Linked DNA regions of Anolis sagrei. The protein of the gene in region 1 interacts with the protein of each later gene in a pairwise test. Links are inferred from orthologs where the notes say so. Each region holds a gene or a part of one and is shown on either strand. Other genes may lie near its edges.

Region 1 (8,549 bases):
GCTCTAGGTCAGTGCTTCTCAACCTTGGGTCCCCAGATGTTTTTGGCCTACAATTCCCAGAAATCCTAACAGCTGGTAAACTGGCTGGGATTTCTGGGAGTTGTAGGCCAAAAACATCTGGGGACCCAAGGTTGAGAAGCACTGCTCTAGTTGCTCTTACTGCCTACTACAGGGAAAACCAAGTGATCCCTAATCCATCTAAAACACAGACATGTGCTTTTCATCTCAAGAACAGACAAGTATCCTGAGCTCTGAGGATCACTTGGGAAGGAATCCCACTGGAGCATTGCAGCGCATCCAAATACCTGGGAGTCACTCTGGACCGTGCTCTGACCTACAAGAAGCACTGCCTGAATATCAAACAAAACGTGGGTGCTAGAAACAGTATCATACGAAAGCTGACTGGCACAACCTGGGGATCACAACCAGACACAGTGAAGACATCCACCCTTGTGCTATGCTACTCTGCTGCTGAGTATGCATGCCCAGTGTGGAACATATCTCACCACACTAAACCAGTGGATGTGGATCTTAATGAGACATGCCGCATTATCACGGGGTGTCTGCGCCCTACACCACTGGAGAAATTACACTGCTTAGCCGGTATTACACCACCTGACATCCGTCGGGAAGTAGCAGCCAATAGTGAAAGGACCAAGGCAGAGACATCTCCAGCTCTTCCCTTGTTTGGGCATCAGCCAGCACGCCAACAACTTAAATCAAGAAATAGTTTTCTAAGATCTACAAAAACACTTGCTCGAACACCTCAGCAAGCGAGAGTCCAAAAGTGGCAGGCTCAAACCCAGAGCCTCAATCAATGGCTGATACACAATGAGAGACTCACCCCTGGAAACACAGAAAACTGGCCGACTTGAAAGGCGCTGAACAAACTGTGCTCTGGCACCATGAGATGCAGAGCCAACCTTAAGAAATGGGGCTACAAAGTGGAATCCACAACGTGCGAGTGTGGAGAAGAGCAAACTACAGACCACCTGCTGCAATGCAACCTGAGCCCTGCCACATGCACAATGGAGGACCTTCTTGCGGTAACACCAGAAGCACTCCAAGTGGCCAGATACTGGTCAAAGGACATTTAAACAACTACCAAGCTTGCAAACTCTGTCTTTTGTATATTTGTTTGTTCTGTCAAAAATGTAATACTCGTGTTGCCTGACACGATAAATAAATAAAATAAATCTCCCCGATGTGGACTCGGAGCGGCTTACATGGGGCCAAGCCCGGACAACATAATACAGCAATGAAATCAAAGCATATACAAGAGACAACAACAACATTATCAAAATGACATTAAAATAATAATAATAATAATAATAATATAAATAAATAAATAATACACATATTCCCTTTACAAGCAGATTGCATATCCCATCAAGTGAGGTGGGAAGGCCACGAATTGGAAGTGGAGCCCACCTATGCCCTCTCGAAAAGAAAAAAGGCACATGGGGGGCAGAGAAAGGAAGGAGAGAGAAGACAGCGAGCCAAGGACAGAAATGCATTCAGGAGAAGCTCCTACACTGTAGAACGGATGCAGTTTGGCACCACTTTGAACTGCCATAGCTCCATCTGAAGAGGTGTCCTTTGGTGAGGCACCAGTATGGTAGAGAAGGCAAAATACTTGATAAATCTCAACTCCCATGATTCCATAGCACGCAGCAATGGCCTTTCAAGTGGTGCCAAACTGGCTCAAGGCTACAGAACCCCGGGAGTTGCAGTTCAACCAGGTCTTCAGCCTTCGCTGACAAAGTGTGCTGATTCCTCATCAAACTACACCTCTCTTGATCCCGTAGCATGGAACCATGGCAGTTGAATGTGTGTGAAAGTGCATTCATTCTGCAGGAAGGGAGGGAGGGAGGGAGGGAAGAAGGGAAGGAAGGAAGGGAGAGAAGGAAGGGAAGGAAGGAGGAAAAGAAGAAGGAAAGAGGGAAGGAAGGTGGAGGGAGGAAGAGAGGAAGGAAGAAAGAAGGAAAGAATGAAGGACAGAAGGAAGGAAGGAAGGAAGGAAGGAAGGAAGGAAGGAAGGAAGGAAGGAAAGGAGGTGAGGAAGGAAGGTGAAAGAGTGAGGAAGGGGAGGAGGAAGAAGAAAGGAAGGAAAGGAAGGCAAAGAAGAAAGGAAAGAAGGAAGGGAAGGAAGTGAGGAAGGAAGGTGAAAGAGAGGGGGGAAGAGAGGAAGGAAAGAAGGCAGGAAGGAAGGCAAGAAGGGAGAAGGGAGGAAGAGAGGAAGGAAGGAAGGCAGGCAGGCAAAGAAGAAAGGAAAGAAGGAAAGGAAGGAAGGGTGAGGAAGGAAGGTGAAGGAGAGGGAGAGGGAGAGAGGAAGGAAAGAAAGAAGGGAGGGAGAAGGGAAGGAGAGAGGAAGGAAGGAGGGCAAAGAAGAAAGGAAAACAGGAAGGAAGGGAACGAAGTGAGGAAGGAAGGTGAAGGAGAGGGGGAGGGAAAGAGGAAGGAAAGAAAGAAAAGGAGGGAAGGAGGCGGGAAGGAGAGAGGAAGGAAGCCAAAGAAGAAAGGAAAAAAGGAAGGAAGGGAAGGAAGTGAGGAAGGAAGGTGAAGGAGAGAGGGAGGGAGAGAGGAAGTCAGGAAGGCAGGCAGGCAGGCAGGCAGGCAGGCAAGGAAGGAAGGAAGGAAGGAAGGAAGGAAGGAAGGAAGGAAAGGTGAGGAAGGAAGGTGAAGGAGAGGGGGAGGAAGAGAGGAAGGAAAGAAAGAAGGAAGGAAGGAAAGAAGGGAGGGAGAGAGGAAGGAAGGAAGGAAAAGAAGAAAGGAAAAAAGGGAGGAAGGGTGAGGAAGGAGAGGGGGAGGGAGAGAGGAAGGAAAGAAAGAAAGAAGGAAGGAAAGAAGGGAGGGAGAGAGGAAGGAAGGCAAAGAAGAAAGGAAAAAAGGAAGGAAGGGAAGGGTGAGGAAGGAAGATGAAGTAGAGGGAGAGAGGAAGGAAAGAAAGAAGGAAGGAAGGAAGGAGGAGGAAGGAAAGTGAAGGAGAAGGAATGAGAGAGGAAGGAAAGAAGGAAGGAAGGAAGAAAAGGAAAGAAGGAAGGAAGGAGGTGAGGAAGGAAGGAAAGAAAGAAAAAAGGAAGGAAGGAGGTAAGGAAGGAAGGGAAGAGGGAGGGAAGGAAAGCGGGAAGGAAGGGAGAGAAGGGGGAAAGGAAAGAGAGCGAGGGAGAGAGAGAAGAGGGCGAGCCAAGGACCGGGGAGGAAGAGGAGCATTTGGGGCGGAGTGGGGAAGGGAACTCGAACAAATCCGTGCCTGGGAAAAGCCAAAGCTTTGAAGGCAAGAGCAGGGCGCCTGGCGAGGGCTTGCTCAAGAACCTGGGCGAGGGAGGCGAGGCAGAGTGGCTGGAAGGAAGCCGAGGGAAGAGGGCCAAAGTCTGGGGGTGGCGGGGGGGGAGCGGGGCGAGGGCGCTGGGCGCAGAGCCCCCCCCAGAGCAGGGGAGCAGGGAGCCCGCCCAAAGGAAGCTTACCCATAGCTCCGTGCCCCAGTCCATGCTGGCAGCAGCCGCGTCCTCCCGAAGCCCCAGCCGCTTCCACCGCCCTCCCGAGAAGGAGTCCCACTCACTCCCGGGGCCCCACCAGCTCCGCCGCCTGCCCCGGACACGCCCCGAGCGGCGGCCTTAAAGGCGCAGGCAGGCCCGAGCCGGGGCTGCCTTGCCTGGCCAAGGGGAGGCCCTCCCTCAATCTCTCCCTCCCTCCCTTCCCTTTCCCAAGAGGAGAGCCATGCCAATGGAGGGGGCTCCGTCCTTGGGGAGGCAACTTCCAAACTCTCCTTCTCTCTTCCTTTCAAAGCTCAGCACCACCACTTGGGCTCATTGGGAATCAACAGTCTCTTTGGGGGAGCCTGGATCCTTGGGCTTCAAAGCCTGTTGAAAGGTGGTGGTGGGGGGAGCTATTCATGACCAGAATCACTGGGTTGTTGTCAGTTTTCCGGGCTCTCTTGCCACCTTCCAGAAGCATTCTCTCCTGACGTTTCGCCCACATCTATGGCAGGCATCCTCAGAGGTTGTGAGGTTTGCTGGAAACTAGGCAAGGGAGGTTTCTATATCTGGGAAGACCTGGCCCTTGAGCATTCCAACTGGAGGTCAGCTGTGACCAACAGTGCTGTGGAATTCAAAGAGACACAAATAGAGGGCGAAAAAGAGAAGTGTGCTAAGAGGAAGAAGGCATGTCAAGCAAGCAGAGGTAATTTTCAACGGTAAGCAAACAGTATTTTGCCCCCCCCCCCCCCACAACCAATCTTCTATATAAATAAAAATATAATGTTAGTTCGTGCTGCCATCAGAACTCAAAAACCACTGGGGGAATTGTCACCAAATTTGGACACAAGACACCTAAGAGTCCAATTTATGTCCTTCACTCAAAAAAAATTGATTTCGTCATTTGGGAATTGTCGTTGCTGGGATTTATAGTTCACCTATATAAATAAAAATGTAATGTTCGTTTGTGGGATTAACATAACTCAAAAACCACTGGATGAATTGACACCATATTTGGACACAAGACACCTAACAACCCAATGCATATCCTTCACTAAAAAAAATTGATTTTGTCATTTGGGAGTTGTAGTTGCTGGGATTTATAGTTCACCAGCAATCAAAGAGCCTTCTGAATCCCACCAACGATGGAATTGAACCAAACTTGACACACAAGACTCCCATGACCAACAGAAAAAACTGGAAAGGTTTGGTGGACATTGACCTTGAGTTTGGGAATTATAGTTCACCCACATCCAGAGAGTACTGTGGACTCAAACATTGATGGATCTGGACCAAACTTGGCACGAATATTCCATATGCCCAAATATGAGGGAATAGACCTTGACATTTGGGAGTTGTAGTTGCTGGGATTTATAGTTTACCTACAATCAAAGAGCATTCTGAACTCCACCAATAATGGAATTGGGCCAAACTTAGCACACAAGACTCCCATGACCAACAGAAAAAACTGGAAAGGTTTGGTGGACATTGACCTTGAGTTTGGGAATTATAGTTCACCCACATCCAGAGAGCACTGTGGACTCAAACAATGATGGATCTGGACCAAACTTGGCACGAATATTCCATATGCCCAAATATGAACACAGATGGAGTTTGTGAGAAATAGACCTTCACTTTTGGGAGTTGTAGTTACTGTGATTTATAGTTCACCTACAATCAGAGAGCATGCTGAACCCCACCAATGAGAGAATTGGAGCAAACCTCCCACACAGAACCCCCATACTTAAGGCCACCCAGTCCAATTCCCATCACCAGGGCAAGAAAAGCTCTCCTGACAAAGAGCCATCCAGCCACAGATATTGATAGATATATATGATTCACATACACTCAAATATAGTATTATAATTTGGAAGTGACCTCTAAAGAAGGGCAATTATATGTTGCATGTTCCAGAGCAGGCAAACCAGACAATCTCCACATCAACATTGACAAAGAAACAACAAGAAATACTGTTTACCCACAAGCTTAAATATATTAGAAACCAACACTTTCACATTACTTTATTTTCCAGACTGGGCCACAGCAACACGTGGCAGGGGACAGCTAGTCAACAATAAATTAAACACATGTAGACTAAAATACATAAAAGTCAGTTCATCAAGATAAAATCATGTCCAACTCAGTCCACATATGTGGTTGACTGCACTGAAATGACCCCAAATTACTTTACTCTAATCATCATGAGGAGGGCGACTAAAATGATCAAGGATCTGGAGAACAAGCCCTATGAGGAGCAGCTTAAGGAGTTGGGCATGTTTAGCCTGAAGAAGAGAAGGCTGAGAGGAGATATGATAGCCATATATAAATATGTGAGAGGAAGCCACAGGGAAGGTCAGGAGGGAGGGAGCAGAACTGATCTCAATCGGGAGAGAGTTTCATAGCCCAGGGGCCACCCCATAAAAGGCCCTGTCTCTCATTCCCACCAGACGCAACTGCGAGGGTGGTGGGACTGAGAGCAGGGCCCCTCCAGAAGATCTGAACAGCCTTGATGATTCATAGGGGAGAATATGTTCAGATAGGTAAACTGGGCCGGAGCCATATAGGGTTTTGTAGATTAAAACCAGCACTTTGAATTGTGCTCAGAAGCTAATTGGCAGACAGTGGAACTGGTGCAACAGAGGAGTTGTGCGCTCCCTGTACCCTATTCCTGTTAGAATCACAGAATCATAGAATCAAAGAGTTGGAAGAGACCTCATGGGCCACCCAGTCCAACCCCCTGCCAAGAAGCAGGAATATTGCATTCAAATCATCCCTGACAGATGGCCATCCAGCCTCTGTTTAAAAGCTTCCAGAGAAGGAACCTCCACCACACTCCGGGGCAGAGAGTTCCACTGCTGAATGGCTCTCGCAGTCAGAAGGTTCTTCCTCATGTTCACATGGAATCTCCTTTCTTGTAGTTTGAAGCCATTGTTTCACGTCCTAGTCTCCAAGGAAGCAGTAAACAAGCTTGCTCCCTCCTCCCTGTGGCTTCCTCTCACATATTTATACATGGCTATCATATCTCTTTTCATCCTTCTCTTCTTCAGGCTAAACATGCCCAGCTCCTTAAGCCGCTCCTCATAGGGCTGGTTCTCCAGACCCTTGATCATTTTAGTTGCCCTCCTCTGGACACATTCCAGCTTGTCAATATCTCTCTTGAATTGTGTTGCCCAGAATTGGACACAATATTCCAGGTGTGGCCTAACCAAAGCAGAATAGAGAGGTTGCATGACTTCCCTATATCTAGACACTATGCTCCTATTGATGCAGGCCAAAATCCCATTGGCTTTTTTTGCCGCCACATCACATTGTTGGCTCATGTTTAACTTGTTGTCCACGAGGACTCCAAGATCTTTTTCACACATACTGCTCTCGAGCCAGGCATCGTCCCCCATTCTGTATCTTTGCATTTCGTTTTGCCTTCCAAAGTGGAGTATCTTGCATTTGTCACTGTTGAACTTCATTTTGTTAGTTTTGGCCAATCATCTCTCTAATCTGTCAAGATGGTTTTGAATTCTGCTCCTGTCCTCTGGAGTATTGGCTATCCCTCCCAATTTAGTGTCGTCTGCAGTCTTTTTTTTTTTTTTTTTTTAATTAATTTTTTATTAAATTTTTTAAATGAACATAGAAAGACAATAGAAAACAATACAGGTCATTCAACCGCACTATGACATTCATAATCCACATTGATCCTATCTAGCTAACTACCTAACATAGATCCTCTAGTACAAAAAACATACGATACAATACAAACATATTTAAAAACAAGTGGCTTGCTGCCACTATTGGACCTCCATCTCTCTCTACTACTGCATTTCTGTATAAAATTTCTCTCTTGCTATTCGTACATTAGTCTTGTATGTTTTCTTTGTCCTAAGGAGCCCTATCTTATCTTACTATAACTTCTTACTTAGGCATACATAAATGTTTCTTCTCGCATATCGAAAGAGTTCTATACATTTCCATTATATTTTCTATCGCTTAACTTTCCTGTGGTTGTTGCTATTTCTAAGCTATTTCAATTCCTCGTAGTCTCCTGTATAAGTCCTGTGTCTTGTTTTTATTTGTAGATATTAAACTGTTAGCAGATTTATCTTTTTTCCCCGAAGCCATTCTCTGACCGGGGTCCAGTTCGTTGGAGATATAGGCATGTTGCGTGAGGCTGACAGGATATACGTTAGATGGTCTGCGTTCATTATATCTAGTATTTTCTCTATCCACTCTTCCTCCGTTGGTAATGTCTTTTGTCTCCAGACCTTGGCCAGTAATAAGCGGGCTGCCGTTATTAGGTGGATGAACAATTTTTCTACCCCTTTGTCCCCCATCCCTCCTGTTAGTCCTAACAGGAAGCATTCCGGTCTAAAAGGGATATTTTTCTTTATTATTTGTTGGCACTTCTCGTGTATTAGTTTCCAAAAGTTGTTAATTCTCACACAGGACCACCACATGTGTCTATAAGTCCCTTTCTGTTCTCCACATTTCCAACATGTATAGCACATCTGTTTGGAAAACTTCGCTATCTTAGCTGGGGTTAAATACCACTGATGCGTCATTTTCACCCAGTGTTCTTTCAGATAGTAGGAATAGGAATAGTTTGTTTTACTGTTCCATACTAGACTCCACTCCTCTAAAGAGATGGATCGCCCTATTAATCTAGCCCAGTTTATCATATATTCTTTAACGCGTTCTCCCTCCGTAGACCATTCTAGTAATATCTTGTATGCTTTTGTGATATATTTTTTAGGGGAGTCCAGGAGCCTATCCCAAGCTGTCGGGTTTTCCATAAAGCCTAGTTGGTTGTCTTTTTTAAAGTGTTCTTTCAACTGCCAATGTTGTAACCAGGTGATGTTGTTATACTGCGTTTTTAGTTCATCCTGAGTCTTAATCCTAATTTCCTTTCTTTCCCTGAGTAGTAGATCTTTATATGTGGGCCATAAGCCCCATCCCAGTTCTCTCCTTTGGTGAGCCTCGAGAGGGGAGACCCAGAGCGGTGTCTTGGGGTACATCCTATCTTTGTATTGGTCCCAGACCTTTAGTAGAGCCGATCGGATAAAGTGGTTACGAAAGTTCTTT
Region 2 (8,599 bases), on another chromosome or scaffold:
GTACTTCCTATAGCTTTCTGGTTGCAACTTGGAAAGCAGAGACCACCCACTTGGACACTGCAGAGAAATCCAGACCAAGGAGTGGATGCTTCCAAGCTTGGCTGAGAGGGTTGCCATATTCTATACCAGGGGTCCTCAAACTTTTTTAACAGAGGGCCAGGTCACAGTCCCTCAAACTGTTGGAGGGCCGGATTATAATTTGGAAAAACATGAATGAATTCCTATGCACACTGCACATATCTTATTTGTAGTGCAAAAAACACTTAAAAACAAAACAATAATTAAAATGAAGAACAATTTTAACAAATATAAACTTATTAGTATTTCAGTGGGAACTGTGGACCTGCTTTTGGCTGATGAAATAGGATTGTTGTTGTTGTTGTGTGCTTTCAAGTAGTTTAGGTTGACCCTGAGCGTGGGCCAGGTAAATGACCTTGAAGGGCCATATCCGGCCCACGGGCCGTAGTTTGAGGACCCCTGTTCTATACTTTTCTCTCTAAAGCTACATCTATACTGGTAAATGTATTTATTTATTTACTTTATTTATACCCTACCTTTCTCTACCTTGAAGGGACCTCAAGGTGGCTTATATAGAGGCAATTATTCAATGCCTTAAACACATACAATTCAAAAAAATTAAATTAGATTAGATTAAAATTAAAACATATTAAACCTTTAAAAACATTCAATTCCATATTAAATGTCACAGAATCCTGCAGGTTGTAATTTTACAAGGTCTTTTGATTAATAATATTTATTTTTATTGATGTTTTATTGTTTTATCCCACTCCCACCTTCCCCTCCTTCTACATGCAATTTATACAGCAAACTACAGAAGTTACATTTGAAATATCAATCTCAGTCTTAATTTTCTACTCCATATCTTAGCACATTCTCTAATAATTCCTAACTGGTTCCCACATCCTCTTAGTTGTTGTAACCTTTTCAATTTTATCTATGTTTCTCCATTTGCAATTGGTTATTTCCACATTTAACATATTAACTATATACTTAGCCAGTGTCCATTTTGCTTCATCTTTCCAAACCCTCAGTAAAACAATTTGTGCACACGCTATTAATTTGTCAACCAATTTTTCTTTTTCTATATTCTTCATTCCTGTTATCTGTGCATGTAGTACATTTCTATTAACTATTATTGTTTGTAAATTTAACAAGGTCTTGAGCCTTCTCTGCCAAAGCATGCTGGTACCTCACCAAACTACAAACTCCCAGAATCCCACAGCATTGAGCCACAGCAGTTAAAGTGGTGTCAAACTCCATAGCTTTTGAACTGACAGTGTGGATGAGGCATGGGCCCTCCAGGTGTTTTGGAATTCAATTCCTACCATTCCTAACAGCCGCAGGCCCTTAAGATTAAGTGGCTGAGGGGAATAAGGAAAGGGCCTGAGGCTGTTAGGAATGCTGGGAGTTAAAGTCCAAAAGAAGCAGGGCTGTATTGCTTCTGCTGCTTTGTTCTTTCTGTGGTTTTGGAGTTCAACTCCCAGAATTTCTGACCATCGGACAAACTTACTGCAGTTTCTGGGAGTCTCTTCATCACATTAGCGAAAAAATCCACTTAAAATCCAGTTTCTGCCTCCTGCAGAATTTTGGGGTTTGTAGTTTAGTGAGGCTATTAAAGGCTCATCCCTAAACTACAAACCCCAGAATTCTGCAGGAGGCAACAACCAGATTGGCTGATACATTCATTTCTATTTTTCTCTATTAGCCTATTCTAGTCATTTCCCTCTAAGGTTGGTACACTGGGAAATGTCATAGAATCCTGTTAGTTGTAATTTTACATGGTCTTGAGCCTTCGCTGTTAAAGCTTGATGGTGCCTCACCAAACTAGAAACTCCCAGAATCCCATAGCATTGAGCCAAAGCAGTTAAAGTGGCATCAAACTTCATAGCTTCTGAATCGACAGTGTAGATGAGGCATGGGCAAACTTGGGACTTCCAGGTGCTTTGGACTTCAACTCCCACCATTCCTAACATCCTTAAGCGACTGAAGGGGAAAAGGAAAGGGCCCGAGGTTGTTAGGGAGTTGAAGTCCAAAACACTTGGAGGGCCCAAGAGATGCACCCTAAGAGGAAGCAGGGCTGTACTGCTTAAGCTGCTTCAAAACTTTGTGCTTAAGCGGTTGAGGAGGAAAAGGAAGGGGCCTGAGGCTGTTAGGAATGGTGGGAGTTGAAGTCTTAAGGTTATGCGGCTGAGGAGGAAAAGGAAGGGGCCTGAAGCTGTTAGGAATAGTGGGAGTTGAAGTCTTAAGGTTATGCAGCTGAGGGGGGAAAGGAAGGGGCCTGAGGCTGTTAGGAATGGTGGGAGTTGAAGTCCAAAACACCTGGAGGGCCCAAGAGATGCACCCTAAGAGGAAGCAGGGCTGTGCTGCTTCAAAACTTTGTTCTTTCAGCGATTTTGGGCTTCAGCTCCCAGAATCTCTGACCATTGGACAAACTTGTAGCGGTTTCTGGGAGTCTTTTAATCACACCTAGAGGAAAAAAAATCCACTTAAAATGCGGTTTCTGCCTCTTGCAGAATTCCGGGCTTTGTAGTTTAGTGAGGCTGTTAAAGGCTCCTCCTTAAACTACAAACCACAGAATTGTGCAGGCCGCAGAAACTGGACTGTAAGCGGATTTGTTTGCGAGTGTGCTGAGGCCACAAGTCCAAAAGAGCAACTTGGGGAATGTCTGAAAGCCAAGGCGCTTCTTCTTACCGTCCGCCGATGCCCGGGTGGCTGAGCTGCTGCCGCATCCAGTTGAACTGTTTCTTCATCATCTTGAAGGAGAGAGGAGAACCGTCCCAAGACCAGGATCCAGCCGGCCGGCAAGGGCTCCAGCCCACTTCTTCCCCCAGCCCTCCTTTAAGGCCCGCCAGCAGCGCCTCTTGCCGCCATCCCTCCTCTCCTCCTCCTCCTCCTCCTCCTCAACAGGTTTGCTTCCTTCTCATTATCTGGCCTTCCTTTCCCTCTCTCTTTGCGGTTTCCCTCCCTCTGCCTCCCCTCCTCCTCCTCCTCCCAGGTCGACTTCCTTCTCTTCCCCTCCACTTCTCTTTCTTTCTTCCTTCCTTCCTACTCCTCCTTTCCCCACCTCCTTGCTCTTCCCTTCTCCCCCTCTCCTCTACTCACCGCCACCTTTCTCTCTCTCTCTCTCTCTCTCTGTTTCTGATCAGGTAAGAAGGTCTCTGCCCGCTGCTCCTCTCAGTTCCTCTCACCACCCCATCGAAGACCTTCTTTTTTGGTTTTGTTTGGAGTATAAATAACTTCGGCCGAGCCTTAAAGGGGAAATATTATGACAGCAAACACGCAGCTCAGGCAGAACAAGCGACGTCTTCTGCAAGCGCTGGTGGTTGTAGTATTTTACTGCTTCCTACTTTTGTTTTCTCTCTTTCTCAGCATTGGCAGGCTGACATATCTGGGCTTGGGTTGTATGACTCCCCAGACGGCAGCTAGGAGTGCATCTACGCTGGAGAATTAATGCAGTTTCAACCCCGCTTGCACTGGCATGGCTCAGGGGCTATGGAATCCAGGGAGTTGGAGTTTTACAAGGTCTTCAGGCTTCTCTGCCAAAGAGTGCTGGAGCTTCATCAAACTGCAACTCCCAGGATTCCATAGTTCTGGGCCACAAATGGAATGTTGGTGGACAGGAAAAGAGATTTAAAGATGGGCTTAAAGCCAACCTCAAAAACAGTGGAATAGACAATGAGAACAGGGGAGCCCTGGCTCTTGAGTGCTCTAACTGGAGGTCAGCTGTGACCAGCAGTGCTGCGGAATTCAAAGAGGCATGAATGGAGGGTGAAAGGGAGGAATGTGACAAGAGGAAGGCAGTCAAGCCAACCCTGACTGGGACTGCTTGCCGTCTGGAAACTGTTGTCCTCACTGCAGGAGAACATGCAGATCAATAATAGGGCTCCACAGCCACTTACAGACCCATTGCCAAGACACCACAACTCAAAGACAATCATCCTCGAGCTACGAGGGATCGCCTGAGTAAGTAAGTAACTGGGGTACACTAAAGTGAGGTCAAATTCCATTCACGCTACAGTGTAGACCAGTGGTTCCCAACCTGTGGTCTGCGGACCACCAGTGGTCCCCAATACCATGTGACAACGAGAGCAACTAGTCTCGTAAAACCCTCTTATAATGCTGAAGCAAGGAGGCTGAGATGACAGGAAAGCTTAGAGGAGACAATGATGCTGGGGAAAATGGAAGGAAAAAGAAAGAGGGGCTGACCAAGGCCAAGATGGATGGATGGTATCCTTGAAGTAACTGGCTTGACTCCGAAGGAGCTGTGGGTGGTGATGGCCGACAGGCAGCTCTGGCAAGGGGTGGTCCATGTGGTCACGAAGAGTCGGAAGAGACTGAATGAATAAACAACAACAATGAGACCAAATGAGAAACTCCCTCCTGGGCACACAGAAGAGGGGACAACCTGGAAGGCGCTGAACAGGTTGCACTCTGGCACCACAAGATGCAGAGCCAACCTTAAGAAATGGGTCTACAAAATGGAGTCCATGACATGCAAGTGTGGTGAAGAGAAACCACAGACCACCTACTGCAATGCAATCTGAGCCCTGCCACATGCACAATGGAGGACCTTCTCACCGCGATACCAGAGGCACTCCAAGTGGCCAGCTCCTAGTCAAAGGACATTTAGTATAATGCTCAAATCCAAATGCATACAACTGTGTAGTAAAATTATTTATCTATACACATAATGGGTACTAGTATTTATAGTTCACCTGCAATCCAAGAGCACTCTGGACTCCACCAACAATGGCCCTGAACCTAACTTAGCGCACAAAATACTCAATATGCCCACATTTGAATACTGGTGGCTCTGGGGTGGACTTGGCCTTGACATTTGGGAGTTGTAGGTACTCAGATGTATAGTTTACCTGCAATCAGAGCACTCCGAACCCCACTGATGATGGAGTTTCAGGGGGTTAACCTGGCATGATGTGAGTTGTACTTCATCCACAACCTTATACATTTTGTAAAATGCAGAAATAACTTCTTCTAACAACCAGGACAACACCGGATACCCAAGTGTGTGTGTGTGTATACATACATATATTCCCAAAAGAATACGCTGATTTTGCGCTCTCTCTCTCTCTCTCTCTCTATATATATATATAGCAAAATCAGTGTATTCTTTTGGGATTTTTAAAACTGAATTTCTGAACCATGGGTGGTAGACTCTGGATACCCTCTTTCTTTTGGGCCAGGTCTCTTCCTTGTATTAATCTTGTGTGTGACAACACTGATCATCAAACAACACAACATACAATTATACAGACTCATGTCCTGTACTCTCCCAAGATCTCTAATTGCATCCTGCCCACACAGTTTCTAAGGCTGTTAATCCTCTGTTTTGAACAAAAAACTGCACCAAAACAAAATTCTCCATTAAGGAAATGCAGATATACAATGAGGTCTGAGTACGGAAATCTTCCTTATCTGGTCACTGTTTTATCTTGCTCAGTCCTCACTATGCTACTGAGTTTGCATGGCACACTGCCAGTTATACTTTCAGTTCTGTCCTCATAAGGACCAGAACCCTGATTATTTTTCCTTGCTTTAAAAAAAATACTTTATCAAGTTTGTAATAGCTTGCAGAGCACAAAATACTAAATCTAGAATTGCTGTTGTTGCATGCCTTGAAGTGATTTCTCACATGATGATCCCAAAGCAATGACCAATCTCATTGAGATAGTGAAGAGTAGAGACATCACGCTGGCAACGAAGATCCACATAGTTAAAGCAATGGTATTCCCCATAGTAACCTGTGGATTCGAAAGCTGAACCATAAGGAAGGCTGAGTGAAGGAAGATAGACACTTTTTGAACTGTGGTGATGGAGGAAAATTCTGAGAGTGCCTTGGACCGCGAGAAGATCCAACCAGTCCATACTTCAGGAAATAAAGCCTGACTGCTCACTGGAGGGAAGGATATTAGAGGCAAAGATGAAGTACTTTGACCACATCATGAGAAGACAGGAAAGCTTGAAGAAGACAATGATGCTGGGGAAAATGGAAGGAAAAAGGACGAGGGGCCAACCAAGGGCAAGAAGGATGGATGGTATCCTTGAAGTGACTGGCTTGACTCTGAAGGAGCTGGTGGTGGGGACAGCTGACAGGGAGCTCTGGTGTGGGCTGGTCCATGAGGTCACCAAGAGTCGGAAGCAACTAAACGAATAAACAACACAAAGATCACAAAGCCAATAGGGTTTCCTTGAACAGACAAGAGTTCTTTCTCCCACCCTGGACATTCTACAGATATATAAACCCCATTTTCCTAGTTTCCCACAGATCTCACAACCTCTGAGGATGCCTGCCATAGATGTAGGTGAAATGTTAGGGGAGAGTGCTTCTGGAATATGGCAGTATAGCCCGGAAAACTCACAGCAACCCAGTGATTCTGGCCATGAAAGCCTTTGACAATAAATAGGTTTTTTTTGGGCAGATTTTTTTCATAGCGGATTTGCCTTTGCTTCCTTTGAGGCTTAGAGAGTGTGACTTGCCCAAGATCACCCAGTAGGTTTCCATGACTGAGTGTGGATACAAACCCTGGGTTCCCAGTGTCCTAGTCCAGTGCTCAAATCACAACTGGCTCTTAGAATGCTGTTCATAATTCCATGCTTACCCTGCCAAACAATGGCACATTCAACAGCCCTCTTTTCCATCTCCGGAGTGTTCTGTTCAATGTGTGGAATTATAAATATGTGCTGAAAGAGCCACCCTCACTCCTTCAGCGTCATCTAAGAAAAAAAGCTGATTAGCAGTAGAAATGAGCTTGGAAAAAGTTTGAAGCACAGCCCTCAGGTTTTTCAGGCTATATGGCTATGTTCTAGAAGCATTCCCTCCTGACATTTCACCTGCATCTGTGGCAGGCATCCTCAGAGGTTGTGAATTCTAGGAGTTGTACAAGCAGTAACTTTTTAAAGCTGTGGTTCACAGTAATAACAGAGAAATGCAGCAGAGAAACTATCATAGAACGTAGAATAAGCAAGAAACACACTGTTGTAAGATGTGGCAAATGACCACCAGCTTGGGTAACTTTTGAAAATTTACCAATCCATTGAGGACCTGTTCACCATGGTAGCCAAATGGCATAGAAGGGGTGCGCTGGAAAGAGTGATTGGCTACCTTTTTCCTTCTGGCCCTAAATTCTTCAGGAATTAAGGGTACTGATACAGCAAAACAATTATTGGGTCTGAATGATAGTAGGAAGATAGTTTTTTTAAAAAATAATAATACTGGTAATCAGATTTTGTTCATTTTCCAGGAAGTTAAGAAGAAATCTATATAATATATGTATTGTATTGCATTGTACTGATGTGGATGAATGTTATTTGGTTTTTTTTATATGTAGGTTTGACACTGTGGTGAATATATAGATATATTAATGTATACTATATGCGAAACCATACACATATACATATGTATGGACCTAACACATATAGAGGGAACTACACAACGCTCAACTATTGTTATTGTTGTTTACTTTTATGTTTGTCTTGTCCAATCTTCTTTAATAAAAATGAATTTAAAAAGATTTTGTTCATTTTCATGGTTTCCTCCTTTCTGTTGAAATTGTCCACATGCTTGTGGATTTCAGTGACTTCTCTGGGTAGTCTGACATGGTGGTTGTTAGAGTGGTGCAGCATTTTTGTGTTGTCAAATAATATGCTTTGTCCAGGTTTTCATCAGGTGCTCTGCTATGGATGACTTCTCAGGTTGAATTAGTCTGAGTGCCTTTCATGTTCCTTGATTCGTGTTTGGTGGTCCCTATGTAGACTTATCCACAGCTGCATGATATACGTTGGACTCCTGCAGAGGTGAGAGGATCCCTCTTGTCCTTTGCTGAATGTAGCATTTGTTGGATTTTCTTGGTGGGTCTGTAGATTGTTTGTAAGTTGTGTTTCCTCATCAGCTTCCCTATGCGGTCAGTGGTTCCCTTGATGTATGTGAGAATACTTTTTCTCTGGGTGGATCTTTTGTCTTTACTCTCGTGGCTTGTTCTCGGTCTTCTAATTCTGTGGTGGAGTATCCATTGCTTTGTAGAGCCCAGTTTCAGTGGTTCAGTTCAGCTTGGAGATTATTTTTGCACAGTCTGCCAGGGCTTTAATTGTGCTTCTCTTTTTTCTTGGGTGATGTTTTTAGTTTTTATGTAATTAAATGTAATCTATTTGTTTGTTATGTGCCTTCAAGTTATTTCTGTGGTAAACCTATCACAAGATTTTATTGGCAGCATTTGTTCAAATGAGGTTTGCCATTGCCTTCCCCCAAGGCTAAGCATGTGTGATTTGGCCAAAATCACTGTGTGGGGGTTTCATATTAGAGTGGGAAATTGAACCCTGGTCTCTCAGTCCAGTGCCCACACTACTACATCTTAAGAGGCTTTCCAAGTTCATGAAAAAAATATGTTTTTTACCTGAGTCAAGGGATAATGTCATCATGTGGTAAGACACAGAGTACATGTGCATGAAAGCAACCTACTTCTTCTAAAATGGTGGTTTACCTTCTAAGGTGATGGATGTGGATCCTGGAGAAAGCAGAACACAGTGCTCTCTTCCTGCTCCCCCATTTTCTCAGTCTACTCCA
Region 3 (8,246 bases), on another chromosome or scaffold:
CCATCGTGAGTTCAAGTAAGTTTTCTTAAAATCACAGAGCAAAGATATAAATATAAAGACACCCCCACCTCCTCGTAAGACAAAGACAGAGGCAGCAACAAACCTTTCCCTTACAAGACCTTGATTTGATCCTTAAACCCTTCCAACAAGCTCTGGCACAAAGAAATCTGGAAGGTCAATGTCTCCCCACTGCCATCGAGACAGCACAGCATTAATACACCCTAATATCACACTAAGTGATGTTAGGAGAGAATGCTTCTGGAACATGGCCATACAGCCTGGAAAACTCACAATAACCCAGTGATTCTGGCCATGAATGCCTTTGACAACACATTACACTAAGTGTCCTTTAAATCTGCCTGGCGAGCTTCCGGTATTGTTAACCAGAGTGGGTTTGAGCCTCGCCTCTCGCACCTTTCGTTATTCCACCTGTAGCTAGAATGGAGATGGCAACTTATCTTGATAAGGATGAAATTGGAAAAAGTGTGTGTGGCAGTGGTTTCCTTAACCTTGGAGTACTACACTGCTTGTTCATGTGGGGCAAGCAAAGCTGAGAAGGACACCTGTCAGATTCTCAGCGAATGAAAGTGACTGGAGAAGAGTTGGGGGACATGTTTCTGTGTAGGGTCTCCATAGTTTGTGTGCAGGGGTGCTCTATATGTGTGTGTGTAAGTAAAGGCTCTGTGTGTGTAGGGGGCTGCCTATGTGTTGTTGTTCTCTTTGTGTATGTGTGTGTAAGGTATCTGTGTGCGTTTAGGGCAGGCATGAGCAGACTTGGGCCCTCCAGGTGTTTGGACTTCAGCTCCGACAATTCCTAACATTAGGAATTGTGGGAGTTGAAGTCCAAAACATCTGGACAGCCCAAGTTTGCCCATGATTGGTTTAAGGGCTCAGTATGCAGGTAGATGTGTATGAGTCAAGGTTTTGTGTGTCGTGTTATGTCATGTGTATGGGGGTCCATGTGTGCATGAGTAGAGTATGTAAGGACTGTGTGTGTTTGGTGTAGTAGAGCAGGCATGGAGCAAACTTGGGCCTTCCACGTATTTTGGACTTCAACTCCCACAATTCCTAATGTGGGAGTTGAAGTCCAAAACACCTGAAGGGCCCAAGTTTGCCCATGCTTGGTTTAGTGGCTCAGTATGCGGGTAGATGTGTGTGAGTTAAGGCTCTGTGTGTTGTTGGTTTGGGGGGGGGGGGTCTCTATTTATGTCTTGAGTTGAAGCTGTGTATGGGCTGGTGTGTGGCTATTTGTATATCCATAGGTGTATGTACATGTATATAATATGTGTGAGTAGGGACTCCATGTCTGTAATGTTGTGTATGTGTGTTTTGGGGGGTGTCCCTATGTCTTGAGTTGAAGCTGTGTATGGGCTTGTGTGTGGCTGTTGTTTGTATATCCATAGGTGTATGCATATGTATATAATATGTGTGAGTAGGGACTCCATGTCTGTAGTGTTGTGTATGTGTGTTATTTTTTGAGGGGTGTCTCTATTTATGTCTTGAGTTGAAGCTGTGTATGGGCTTGTGTGTATTTGTATATCCATAGGGGTATGCATATGTATATAATATATGTGAGTAGGGACTCCATGTCTGTAGTGTTGTGTATGTGTGTTATTTGGGGGGGGGGGTCTCTATTTATGTCTTGAGTTGAAACTGTGTATAGGCTTGTGTGTGGCTGTTGTTTGTATATCCATAAGTGTATGTATAGGTATATAATGTGTGAGTAGGGACTCCATGTCTGTAGTGTTGTGTGTGTTATTTCTTTTTTGGGGGGTCTCTATTCATGTCTTGAGTTGAAGCTGTGTATGGGCTTGTGTGTGGCTGTTAGTATATCCATAGTGTTGTGTATGTGTGTTTTGGGGGGGTGTCTCTATTTATGTCTTGAGTTGAAACTGTGTATGGGCTTGTGTGTGTCTGTTGTTAGTATATCCATAGTGTTGTGTATGTGTGTTTTGGGGGGTGTCTCTATTTATGTCTTGAGTTGAAGCTGTGTTGTTTGTATATCCATAATGTTGTGTATGTGTGTTTTGGGGGATGTCTCTATTTATGTCTTGAATTGAAGCTGTGTATGGGCTATGTGTATGGCTGTTGTTTGTATATCCATAGGTGTATGTATATAATATGTGTGAGTAGGGACTCCATGTCTGTAGTGTTGTGTATGTGTGTTATTTTTGAGGGTGTTTCTATTTATGTCTTGAATTGAAGCTGTGTATGGGCTATGTGTGTGGCTGTTGTTTGTATATCCATAGGTGTATGTATATAATATGTGTGAGTAGGAACTCCATGTCTGTAGTGTTGTGTATGTGTGTTATTTTTGAGGGTGTTTCTATTTATGTCTTGAGTTGAAGCTGTGTATGGGCTTGTGTGTGGCTATTTGTATATCCATAGGTGTGTGTATATGTATTTAATATGTGTGAGTAGGGACTCCATGTCTGTAGTGTTGTGTATGTGTGTTATTTGGGGGGGGGGATCTCTATTTATGTCTTGAGTTGAAGCTTTGTATGGGCTTGTGTGTGGCTGTTGTTTGTATATCCATAGGTGTGTGTATATGTATATAATATGTGTGAGTAAGGATTCCATGTCTGTAGTGTTGTGTATGTGTGTTATTTGGGGGGGATCTCTATTTATGTCTAGAGTTGAAGCTGTGTATGGGCTTGTGTGTGGCTGTTGTTAGTATATCCATAGTGTTGTGTATGTGTGTTTTGGGGGGTGTCTCTATTTATGTCTTGAGTTGAAGCTCTGTTGTTTGTATATCCATAATGTTGTGTATGTGTGTTTTGGGGGGTGTCTCTATTTATGTCTTGCATTGAAGCTGTGTATGGGCTTGTGTGTGGCTGTTGTTTGTATATCCATAGGTGTATGCATATGTATATAATATGTGTGAGTAGGGACTCCATGTCTGTAATGTTGTGTATGTGTGTTTTGGGGAGGGGGTCTCTATTTATGTCTTGAATTGAAGCTGTGTATAGGCTTGTGTGTGGCTGTTGTTTGTATATCCATAGGTGTGTGTATATGTATTTAATATGTGTGAGTAGGGACTCCATGCCTGTAGTGTTGTGTATGTGTGTTACTTGGGGGGGGGGGGTCTCTATGTCTTGAGTTGAACAGCTTGTGTGTGGCTGTTGTTTGTATATCCATAGGTGTATGTATATGTATATACTATGTGTGAGTAGGGACTCCACGTCTGTAGTGTTGTGTGTGTGTGTGTTTTGGGGGGGGGTCTCCCTATGTGTGGGTTATGTGTGTAGCTTGGCAGAGCCCCCTCCCTCTCCCCAAGCTCTCCAGATAAATAAATAGAAGGAAGGAAGGGCCCCCTAGAAACCGCCTTTTCGCCTCAAGGCCCCCCCCCCTCCTTCCAACCGCCCTCTCCCCTCTCACCAAGGAAACGTCTCCTTCTGCGCCCAGCTCGCGCTGCCTGCCTGCTTCCTTGCTCGCTTGCTTCCTTCTCCTCGGGCCACGCCCCCTTCGCTGCCTCCTTCCTCGCGACCCAGCCCCAAAGCCACGCCCCCCGGAGCCACGCCTCCCCTCCACGAAGCCACGCCTCCCCTTCTCTCGCCCAGAGTCAGCCTCAGGGCACGGCGCGCGCACGCGTGCGGGTGAGAGGCCGCAGAGGTCCACGTCACGTGACGAGGGAGAAGCAAGGTAAGAAGGCGGGAAAAAGGGATCTCTGCAAAAGTACAAAGTACACACAACCAGTTTGGGGAAACCACACACTTAAAATACTTCTAAGCCCTCCCACTACCTCTGAAAGGGGGGGAGGAGGGTTATTCACATTCCTCTGTCATAGCAACGGCCATGGCAACAGGCATTGAAAGCCCTTGGGGAAACTACACACCCCAGAAGCCCATTGGGATGTTGCCATGGCAATTAAAACGGAACCAAATGTACTGTCACACTGTAATGTCATAGAAGCCCTGTATTGTTAGGTTAAACAAACAAACAAAAAACACTCAAGGTGCATCTGATATAATAACATAATGTAGTATAATATATTATATATACAATTATTATATTGTAATGCAATTCAATGTAATAATAATATGATATAATTATATATTTTATATTACATGTAATATTGCTAATAATATTACAATATAATGGTATAGTACAATATAGTAATATATAATACTGATATTGTATTATGCTTTATTTATTTATCATGTCATCAGCAACCATACCATTATATTGCATTTCTAACAGAACAAAACAAACAAGCAGATAAAAAAACCCACAAATTTTGCAAACTTGGTAGTTGATTAAATGTCCTTTGACCAGTATCTGGCCACTTGGAGTGCCTCTGGTGTTGCCGCAAGAAGGTCCTCCATTTTGCATGTGGCAGGGCTCAGGGTGCATTGCAGCAGGTGGTCGGTGGTTTGCTCTTCTCCACACTCGCATGTCGTGGATTCCACTTTGTAGCCCTATTTCTTAAGATTGGCTCTGCAATTCGTGGTGCCAGAGTGCAGTCTGTTCAGCGCCTTCCAAGTCGCCCAGTCTTCTGTGTGCTCAGGGGGAGTCTCTGATTTGGTATCGCCCACAGATTGAGGTGCTGGGTTTGAACCTGCCACTTTTGGACTCTCACTTGCTGAGGTGTTCCCGCAAGTGTCTCTGTAGATCTTAGAAAACTATTTCTTGATTTAAGTCGTTGACGTGCTGGCTGATACCCAAACAAGGAATGAGCTGGAGATGTCTCTGCCTTGGTCCTTTCACTATTGGCTGCTACTTCCTGGCGGATGTCAGGTGGTGCAATACCGGCTAAGCAGTGTAGTTTCTCCAGTGGTGTAGGGCGCAGACACCCCGTGATAATGTGGCATGTCTCATTAAGAGCCACATCTACTATTTTAGCGTGGTGAGATGTGTTCCACACTGGGCATGCGTACTCAGCAGCAGAGTAGCATAGCACAAGGGCAGATGTCTTCACTGTGCCTGGTTGTGATCCCCAGGTTGTGCGAGTCAGCTTGCGTATGATATTGTTTCTAGCGTCCACTTTTTGCTTGATGTTCAGGCAGTGCTTTTTGTAGGTCAGAGCACGGTCCAGAGTGACTCCCAAGTATTTGGGTGCGCTGCAATTCTCCAGTGGGACTCCTTCCCAGGTAATCCTCAGAGCTCGGGATGCTTGTCTGTTCTTAAGGTGAAAGGCACATGTCTGTGTTTTAGATGGATTAGGGATTAGTTGGTTTTCCCTGTAATAGGCAGTAAGAGCACCTAGAGCTTCAGAGAGCTTCTGGAAAAAATAGACCCCTGTCTGATTCCACAGCAAGCTGGCTTCAGGAAAGGCAAAAGCTGCACATCGCAAGTGCTGAACCTGACTCAGCACATAGAAGATGGCTTTGAAAGGCAGCAGATCACAGGAGCTGTCTTCATAGACCTGTCAGCAGCTTATGATACTGTGAACCACTGCCTCCTCCTGAGAAAAATGTATAACATCACAAAGGACTATCACCTCACCCGCCTCATAGGAAACCTGCTACAAAACAGGAGCTTTTTTGTTGAGTTCCAGGGCCAGAGAAGCAGATGGCGGAAACAGAAGAACGGCCTGCCTCAGGGGAGCTCCAGCAGGAAGGTAACAGTGCTCCATGCAGTCATGCCAGCCACATGACCTTGGGGGTGTCTACGGGCAACACCGGCTCTTCAGCTTAGAAATGGAGGTGAGCATCATCCCCCAGAGTCTAACACAACTAGCCTTTACCTATACATATGTGTATATATGTGTGCGTGTGTGTATATATACACATGTGTGTCTTTGTATATGTGTGTGTACACATATGTACAGAACATACAGACACCAAATGCATAAAGAATAGAAAGCAAGACCAGAGAAAAATTACATACAAACTATACAGACAGTAATAATTACATGATTAATGCGCGCCATTGGTTCAGGAAACTCACAGATACCAAGAATCTAACAGTAGATATGACAATCAACACCTTTTGTGTGATAAGAAACCATTATCCCAAAGCTCTAGGGATAGCTGGCAACGTCCTACTGAATCTCTCACTTTAGCATCACTTTGCTTTTCAGAACACTTCAATCTGTCACTGATTTTAAACAAACTTCAAAGGTAGATTAGTGAAATTGGGGGGCCCCGAGTTCCAATTCACAGTCTACAAAGCCCATGTTGTGATAAATATGTTCCTAAAGTTTTACTTGAAAGGGATAACCTCCTTGTGTGTGGCTTTTTAATAGACCACGACTATTTTCTCAGTATCCAGGGTGCTGTGATTTGCCTCTTTTGTGCTGATATAAAGTGAATAGTATAATTTAATTCCTTTGCAAGTGAGTCAGAAGAACGCTGCCTGATTTTCCCTGAGCTGATGCATGTGTGGGGGTGTTTTGCCACATTAAGCCGCAAGTGAGAAATTCATGTGCCGGATGCCTTCCTGTGCAAAACTTTTGTCCCCCGCACGTCCTCTCCAAATGTGAAGGATCAAGAGGATCTCCTCTTGATGTAATCCAAACTGGCTCATAGGGGGGATTTATATTGGCTCACAATCTTGAACACGTTGAGGCTTGATGCAGCCAGTTTAAATCAGTCCTTATTCTGGACTATATCCAAGCTATAGAAAAAGATATAAATTTCTCCATAGCCTTCCCTTGATCTTTCAATGCCTCTTTATAGAAATTCAATGATCGTTTGGGATGTTTGTTGCAAAAGGTCCAGGTCTGGAAAGGTTTGGCTGAACTGCAAAAGCTCCTGTCTGAAACCTTGGAGAGCTTTCTCCTTCACCTTCTCCTCCTCCGACATATGGAATGTCTGATATAAATCTGATATAAATCAGCTTCCTCTTATACTTCCTAGCTATCTAATTTGGAGCATATCCTCATTAGGAACAGAAGATTGACTCTTATCTATATAATAGTATGATCTACTGTATATAAATGATGGCACAGATTCATCTACACCAGTGTCACAGGGGTCACCAAAGACCATCAAAAAATACAGTATTTTCTGTTGGTCATGGGGGGTTCTGTGTGGGATGTTTGGCTCAGTTCTATCATTGGTGAGGTTCAGAATGCTTTTGAATGTAGGTGAATGATAAATCCCATCAACTACAACTCCCAAGTGTCAAGGTCTATTTTCCCCCAACTCCACTAGTATTCAAATTTAGGCGTATCAGGTATTTGTGCCAGATTTGGTCCAGTGAATGTAAATACATCCTGCATATCAGATATTTACATGACGATTCATAACATTAGCAAAATGACAGTTATGAAGTAGCAACGCAAATAATTTTATGGTTGGGGGTCACCACAACATGAGGAACTGTATTAAGGGGTCGAGGCATTAGGAAGGTTGAGAAACACTGATCTACACTGTAGAATCAATGCAGTTTGACACCACTATTCAATACTAGGAAATAATGGGAGTTTAGTTTGGTGAGGCATCCACCACTCTTTGGCAGAGAAGGCTAAGGACCTTGTGAAACTACATGTCTTACCATTCCTTAGCATTTTATTTATTTATCGTGTCAGGGGCAGACCAAACAGTTGCATTGCATTTTTTAACAAACAAACAAACAAAACGCAAAGTTTGCAAGCTTGGTAGTTGATTAAATGTCCTTTGACCAGTAGCTGGCCACTTGGAGTGCCTCTGGTGTTGCTGCTAGAAGGTCCTCCATTGTGCATGTGGCAGGGCTTAAGATGCATTATGGTAAGTGGTCTGTGGTTTGCTCTTCTCCACGCTCACATATCGTGGGCTCCACTTTGTAGCGCCATTTCTTAAGATTGGCTCTGTACCTCGTGATACTAGAGAGCAGTCTGTTCAGTGCCTTCCAGGTCGCCCAATCTTCTGTGTGCCCAGGAGGGAGTTTCTCACTGATCTCAACCACTGATTAAGGTGCAGGGTTTTAACCTGCTACTTTTGGACTCTAGCTTGCTGAGGTGTTCCTGTGAGTATCTCTTTCGATCTTAGGAAGCTGTTTCTTGATTTCAGCTGTCGGCATCTTCGCTGATATCTGAACAGAGGATGGACCAGAGATGTCACTACCTTCGTCCTTTCATTATTGGCTGCTACTTCCTGATTGATGTCAGGTGGTGCAATGCCAGCTAAACAGTATAATTTCTCCAGTAGTGTGGGATGTAAACATAGTGTGATAACGCAGCATGTCTCATTAAGAGCCACATTCACCATTTTAACGTGGTGCGATGTATTCCATACTGTTGTTGTTTATTCATTCAGTCAGTCGCTTCTGACTCTTTGTGACCTCATGGACCAGCCCACGCCAGAGCTCCCTGTTGGCCGTTG

Evidence for each region.
Region 2: the proteins of TRIP10 (region 1) and SH3BP1 interact in binary tests that used the Homo sapiens proteins (3 or more experiments, as listed by UniProt). The two-hybrid records come from large-scale screens. The link is inferred for Anolis sagrei from reciprocal best matches to the Homo sapiens genes TRIP10 and SH3BP1.
Region 3: the proteins of TRIP10 (region 1) and ARHGAP12 interact in binary tests that used the Homo sapiens proteins (3 or more experiments, as listed by UniProt). The two-hybrid records come from large-scale screens. The link is inferred for Anolis sagrei from reciprocal best matches to the Homo sapiens genes TRIP10 and ARHGAP12.

What each region holds. Positions count from the first base shown.
Region 1 is NC_090022.1:171,013,656-171,022,204, reverse strand, and holds the start of TRIP10 (cdc42-interacting protein 4), read right to left. Parts: upstream 3,618-8,549; 5' UTR 3,492-3,617; coding exon 3,468-3,491; intron 1-3,467. UniProt on the Homo sapiens protein: Required for translocation of GLUT4 to the plasma membrane in response to insulin signaling. Required to coordinate membrane tubulation with reorganization of the actin cytoskeleton during endocytosis.
Region 2 is NC_090025.1:165,017,663-165,026,261, forward strand, and holds the start of SH3BP1 (SH3 domain-binding protein 1), read right to left. Parts: upstream 3,116-8,599; 5' UTR 2,775-3,115; coding exon 2,713-2,774; intron 1-2,712. UniProt on the Homo sapiens protein: GTPase activating protein (GAP) which specifically converts GTP-bound Rho-type GTPases including RAC1 and CDC42 in their inactive GDP-bound form.
Region 3 is NC_090026.1:112,231,012-112,239,257, forward strand, and holds the start of ARHGAP12 (rho GTPase-activating protein 12), read right to left. Parts: upstream 3,463-8,246; 5' UTR 3,379-3,462; intron 1-3,378. UniProt on the Homo sapiens protein: GTPase activator for the Rho-type GTPases by converting them to an inactive GDP-bound state.